Drosophila melanogaster: one gene and its partner. The protein of the gene in region 2 interacts with the protein of the main gene of each other region in a pairwise test. Each region holds a gene or a part of one and is shown on either strand. Other genes may lie near its edges.

Region 1 (3,758 bases), 7.9 Mb from region 2:
GTTTGCATGTAGGCAAATTTCACCAGCGAACATTAGCAGGCAGACATTTTATTTTTTTTGTATTCTGGTATCCTTGTATTCCCCAAGTTATCACAATCGCTGAGCGAACGCGCGCACACCGGAAATACGAGCGGGATGCCAGGATGTCGGTCTGCAGATGGGCTGAATGCTCGTCCCGTTCTGCAGCGCGTGCTGAGTCCTTTGAATACCACTTGGTATCGCTGTGATTGCCGAGTTTATGCTCTTCGACAGCTGTTAATGGTGTAATCCCCTTGTTGGACGAGAGATCCTTTAATTAAGAGGCCACACGTTTGGCTGCTCTTTAATGGTTTGTAAGATTTTTATGCGATTTTAGGAAATTAGGATTTTTGAATGTTTGCACAGCCGACTGGTTGATGAAACTGTGCTGCTGTTTAATTGTCAAGCTTTTACCCAATGATGCTGCTGATGTGCTTTTTTTCTGGTTTATGAATACTTCCGTTTTAAGTCTACTAATTCGATTAGCAGAAACATATGCTTCACAATTATCTGATGATGGTGGGGTGAGCTTTTTAGGGGTTGGATAACTGTCGTTAGTTAGAAATTAAAAGCAACCATCTAAGTTCACAGGTGCTGTATCTAAGCGCTCAAAATTCTATGTAAGTGGATTTAATTTATCAGATCAGAATGTTTGAATAGAAAGTATCATAGTTTACAAATATCTTAGAAATTCGAAATAAATTCTATCAAAATATTAAAGTTTATTATTGTAATTATTCTTTACTGACATTGGTTATAAATTTTTAGATTTAAAATAGACTTCAACATGTCTGGTATTCTGAATTCGTACATTTCAAATATTTTTATGCATTTAATATTTTCCCCATTTTATGCTGGAGATTTTCCCCATTTAAGCCTAGGAGTATGTTTTCAATTTTTGAATAAAATTCTACCGTTACGATATTATCTTTAATTTACTTCAACTTTGGTTCAACAAAGCACTTAAAAATACATTAGTTATTTAGGACCCCGTCGGAGTTCTGAATCATGTTGATCATTCTATAATTCGAACATAACTCACCTCAGGATTGTGCCTGTATGTGCAATAAAGTTTATCCAAAAATAAGTCTCCTCTTTGACTGTCTCTTAAACTTCCGTCGGGACAACTTAAGTTACAACTTAGTAATCTTAAACACTTCACAATCGTTGGGAATCGGTGCAGTTAATCACTCACTCAAGTGCGTACAAATTGCCAACCGGAAATGAAATTATTGTCAAAATGGCGACGGATATGCGACAAGTGAACGCGACAGCGACGCGCCACGCAAATGACGGTTTTGTTTGCAGCCAAAGTTTCGTAGTCCTGGAGCGGATATGCAAGGAAATTTGTCACTGCAAGGACGATGACGGCGACGACCACCAAGCCAACTGGACACCGACGGCAGCGGGCTCCTTGGGCATTTCTCGATGTCTTTTCGCACAGGTGCAGGTGCACAAAAGGTGGGTGGTGGTGGGTGGCGAGGGGTGAGAGGTTCGCAACGAAAGCGGAACGAAAATGAAATCAAAAAGCGAAATTTCTATAATTTCCGCACAAAAATTTCCGCGACACACTGGCAGGACACATGTGTGTGTCCTTGTCTGTTTCTTTTTCGTGCGCTGCCACGCCCACAGCCAGCAACAAGCTGGGCGTATGTGTCCAAGTTTTCCGCACTGCTTGCCGTGTGTAAGTGTACAAGTGTGTGCCGTGTGTGTGCTTTGTGTTTTTTGTGGTTTTTGTGCCTTCGTTTGCCGCTTGTGCTGACCAAGAAAGGTTCGCTAGTTTGGTCCTTGTCCCGGGAATATTGACGACGTGTGACCGACGAATCTAAACCGCAAAGTACCGCTATTATGTCGTCCGCGACGTGTTGCACTTGGTAGCGCGCACTCCAAGTTAATGTGGCGGCCAGATCATCCCGTCCAGTCACCAGTCCACGCTCAAAGATGGCGACACACTCCTCCCACAAGCGGTGGCTCTGTGTGGCAGGGGAACTGGGCGCTATCACCGAGGATGTGTCACCCCATCGTCCTGCGTTTCTGCGGCGGCTAATGCGCAGGCGCGCTCTCCGCACCACAACCCCATCCACCGCCCACTTTGCCGCTGCTCTGTTATCTGCCGCTGTCATCGGCTGCTGGTGGGCGGAGCCAACTCTGTGCCATCGGGGATGTGGATGTGGATGTGGCTATGGCTGTGGATGCTCCTGCCTTTCGCCGGGTCCTTTGCTCCGCGTTCTTGGGGCATCATTAGTGCTGCCGAAGAGAGAAGACCCCATTTTGGGCGGAAGTGCGTATGAGCAATATTTTAACAATGGCGTTTAAAACAGTTAAAGAGCGTGTGCTGGTGTGCGAGGCCATTAGGACCTTAGTTTTGCGGTGGCTTTAAGGCCCGCAGATAAGCCTCGCATAATAACATTTTAATTTCGAGCAGCAGTGGCCACAAAAGACCCGCCAAGATACCCAGATGCTCCTGCTGCCTGCCAAAAAGGATATAATTAACATGCCAGCTGCTGCAGAGCACACACACATGTGCTAAATGACGTCTAGATAAGCGGTGAGCCTGGTGACATGATTTAAGGTCCTGCGATGGATGGGGCAGGATAATTTGCGATAAGCGGCATTCGGGGTGATTAATTTGCCAGCCCAAGTTGTGGAATGTCTTCGAAATGTCTTCAGCTCTCAATTTAAACTAATGAGCTCATGTACAGCATGTATTTAATATTTAAGATTGGTTTTAGGCAACGAGAAGATGTCTTTGCAACAATGTCGTAATTTGAAAATAACTTACTCCCATATAAAAAGAAAAACAGGTTTCTTAAAACAACAACCTGAATTATATATTTTTAAGTTTAAAATCCTTTCCAGGATAATGAAATTTAACGGTTAAGTGAGCTTACCAAAGCAGCTTAACTTTAAAGCTTGTAGAGCTTTTAGTAAATTAACAAACCCAAATGGCTTCGAATAAATCCTTAAGGTTCTTTCCCAAATAAAACAAAGCAAATACAAAAATCTTCAATCTTTTAATTAAACAAAACACACAAATGTACACTTATCACAATAAGTTTTGCTGTCTATAACTCGTATGACATAAGTAGTCCCAATTATAAAAAAGTCTGCTCAGTTGCGCTTGATCAATTAGCCAGTGATAAAATAAGTTACAAAAACTCATTCAGCAGGTAGAATAGAATGAATGTCTTGGAAATGCGGATGGAATTTTAGAAACATGTTGCGAAGTCTTTGAAAAGTATCTTTGCGCCTTAGATGCGACTTTTGGAGCTCGATTTTACTTCAAATAGTTTGCGCACAAAGAATACCTGCAAATATTAGGTTATTAATTTAGGAAAAGCAAAAAACATGTCTATACTCGCCTGTACAGAGCACGTGATCAATATGACCACAATTTGGCTAATCGAGAAGGTTTGAATATAGGCATTGTTGTCCAGGAGCAACGCATAATCACGCGATTCGCGATGACGACTGTGGGCTTGATAGCCCATCATATCGTTGATGTTGCGCTCCACAGTGCCAACGGTGGCCTAAAGAAATAGATCAATGTGAATATTTGTAAATGGATGTTTGGGTGTGTCTGAAAACCAGTTTGGCTTACAGTGAAGTTTTGCATGTTCAGCTGCAGCTGCTCGATCTCCTTGGCGTACTTGTCCCATGCATCGTACTTCACCACCGTGATATAGATGTTGACCAGCTTGCCAGCGAATCGGGAGAACTGGTTGTCAATGCAGACGGAG
Region 2 (3,346 bases):
AGATGATGATAAAATCTGGAACGCCTCAAAACGGGGCAAACCGAAAAGGGTTCCCGGACCATATCGGTGCAAGCTCTGCACACAGTCGTTCACCCAAAAACAAAACCTAGAGATTCACATGCGCATACATACTGGCGAGCGACCCTACAAGTGCTCCCTATGTCCGCGATCCTTTGCCCAGAAGGGCAACCTGCAGAGCCACACACGTTGTCACACCGGCGAGCGTCCCTTCGGTTGTCCGAACTGCCCCAAGCGCTTCCGGCAAGTTGGGCAACTGCAAGTCCACACCCGGACTCATACTGGCGAACAGCCGTTCAAATGTTCCAAATGTCAGCAAAGCTTCAAGCAACTAAACGGCCTACAAAAACACATGTCAGCACACACGCGAGGGAAGCGACGGACGAGCAGCCAAGAAACAAAAAGAAATAAGTTTAAATAGTTAAGATTTGTTAAAGGTATTTTCATATATTGAATGTCCATATAATAATTTCTTGTTTGAAATCGACAAAGCTAGTAATCGCAACCAAAGTGAGAAAGCTGCTTAAAAACTGTTGTGAATCGATCCGATTATCATTTCTTTATTATCTTATTGTCAATATGAGAACATGAAATTGTTTTTAAAACTACACTCCATATGTACTTTCATTATTAGTCGCTAACTTGTTTCTACTTTAAAAATATATCGAACTTATTTTTAAAACGATGATACAAGATGATTAATTACTATTTTAGTTGGCTACATTTTGCCAAGCGTTGCCAAGGACTATTTAAGAGCTTTTCGTCTGGTCCTTGTGGATCCTTTGGTGTGGGTGCGCCTGTGCATGGTCAACTGGGCCTTGCCGGTGAAACTTTTTTGGCAGTCGGTGCATTTGAAGGGCCGCCTCTTATCCACCTCGTTGCGAGTCTCCTTCTTCGGCTGCTTATCGTTCCGGTCCCCATCGTCCTCCTCCTCCTCCTCCTCGCTCTTGATGCGATCCGTAAAATCCCAATCCTCGGCCTCCAGGAGATCGCATGTCTCCTTGTCGCTTTGCTCCCTCTTCACGCGCGCCACGTATTCCATGGTCCTTGTGTAGCGTCTCCTGAATCTCAAGGCCTCACGCAATTTAATAAGGCACGGTTCGCAAATTTTCAGCGGAAAGCCGTCCCCGGTATCCACTGGATATGCGCTGCAGATATTCAGCAAATCAGCCGGCGTGGGCTCCGGTTCCTTGGTTCGCTGTAGATCGTCGCTCAGTCTGTCCCCCAAGCTCTTGTTGTCGTAGATGTCTAGCAGGTCCTTCGGCTCGTCCATACACACCCGGCACATCTTCACCAATTCATCCATGGCTTCGTTGCTTCCTTCGATTCCAAGCAAATACAATTCAAAAAGAATAACTAAACTGTATCGGATGACCATCAAGCCAAAACAGAAAAATACCAATTGGCGCAATTCCAGGGATGCAACATCTATGCCAATAAATATGTATTTAAATTTAGACTTATTTGTTGTTATATCAAATTAACTTATAAATATATTATTTAAAATGAACAATTAATCTAAAATGAAATGTAGTAGCAGTGAAAATTGTAGAATCAGTTGAAAGTATTCTTCATGTTATATTTTTAATTTATTTTAATTGAAAAACTGTAAAACGGGTTTAATGTAAAAATTCAATGCTTTGCTTGCAAGTTTTTTAAATAAGAAGGTATACTTATTTTTAGAATCATTATTCAAAGTAAAGATTCTTAAAACTAATTATATGTTTAATTTAATATTGATGAAATTAAATGATTAAAATTTTTAAAAATGTAGCGAGTTTTTACTGTAGAAATGATTTCCACTACAAATGGCAAAGACCCCGATTCGCATAAAACTGTTGCAACTTGCGCAAAGTTCAACTGGTAACTGGTCATTGTCTTCTAGGCTTATCGGCTTATCGGCATGGAATTAACTTAAGAAACACCATGGACTGCGGAGATAATGACCCAAGCTAAACTTAGCTCCATTTCCAGCCAAGCGGAGCAGTGATAAGATTCAAAAGACTTGGATTACAAAAGAGTTTATGAAATGTATTGCATATTTAGCGCCCTGTGGGCGTAAAAATAAAAAGAGTACACAAAATAAGAAATATGTAGGCGGGAGCGGGACAATCTACATCTCCACATAAGTGGGCATGGTCATAACACCGCAATTGTTCTTCTTGGCCGACATCAGGATGTAGCCATCGTTGCCCCAGTAGGTGGACCACGAGTTCTTCACCAGCCAGTAGTCCTCTCCATTGATCGAGCCATAGCCCACGGCCAAGACAGCATGATCCAGTCCATCTACATCGTTCTTGCACGTTGGCTCATAGTAAACTCCGTGCGAGTAGAAGCTAAATGTCTTGGGAGAAGCATCAATGGCCACCGACAGAGGACCGTGCTTGAGCAGAGCCAGCTTGAAGGCATTTGGATCGTTGGAGGTCACATTGACGAATCCCTTAATAGGTGCCACCAGCGTCACGTTGTTGACGTGACAGTAGCCATCCTGGCCCAGATAGGGACCGTACTCCTCCTCCGTGGGCACTCCGCCGGACTGCAGCATCCACTGGTACACGCGGAAATCCTCGCCACCATCGCAGCCATTGTTGCCATAGGCCCACGAGCAGTCAATCAACGCCTGCTGGGAAAGCCGGACCAGATTGCCGCCATTCTTCAGGAAGAAGGCGCCCTCCAGGTGACCAATGGTGCCAAATGACCAGCACGATCCGCACACAGATTGATCTAAGGGTAGTTTACGTTTTAAGCAATTCAATATTATCAAATTCATCTAAGTAAGTACTTAGGGAATGAATGAACCCACCTTTCACCGGAGTGACAGCGCCGTATAGCCGCCAGTCGTACTGGTCGGGAATCTCGTCCTTGTACTTGGGCACATCATAGGGGAACGGTTTGCCGGTGTTGTAAATGCCCGATGATTTGTATCCTCGTCGTGCCTTCAACTCCTCTTCGGTCTTGTCGGCCAAGTGATTAACGGCCAGCGTGTAGGTGAGTTTGGCCCTGTTCTTTGAGTGGATGTAGCGCAGGTTCTGACGGAAGATGTTCTTGCGATGCTCGTGTTCCGTGTCGCTGTGATAAGCAACTCCGTGCTTGCGCTTGAAATGGTGGAAGGCCTTGTCCACATGCTCATCGGTTCCGGATATAAACTCCTGCATGGGATTGAAGGTGGCATAGTGACCGGTGCCGGGTCCGGGGAATCCGACGCACTGCAGGCTGTCATCGATCTCGAACACCTCGTTGGGAATATCATCGTGCTCGTAGCTGTCATAGTCCAAGTAGTAATGATCGTAGTGCGATCCCAGCAGGGTGTTATAGCCCCTCATCTCGT

Evidence for each region. Proteins that work in one complex are often made in the same cells at the same time.
Region 1: the proteins of CG17361 (region 2) and Ets65A interact in a two-hybrid assay, tested with the Drosophila melanogaster proteins (one large-scale study listed by BioGRID).

What each region holds. Positions count from the first base shown.
Region 1 is NT_037436.4:6,095,774-6,099,531, reverse strand, and holds the start of Ets65A (Ets at 65A), read right to left. Parts: upstream 1,916-3,758; 5' UTR 1,061-1,915; intron 1-1,060. Other genes in the region: loj (logjam), read right to left, coding at 3,270-3,326, 3,381-3,548, 3,620-3,758.
Region 2 is NT_037436.4:13,995,256-13,998,601, reverse strand, and holds CG17361 (uncharacterized protein), read right to left. Parts: upstream 1,412-3,346; 5' UTR 1,397-1,411; coding exon 764-1,396; 3' UTR 547-763; downstream 1-546. Other genes in the region: CG17359 (uncharacterized protein), read left to right, coding at 1-439; CtsK1 (cathepsin K1), read right to left, coding at 2,132-2,742, 2,822-3,346.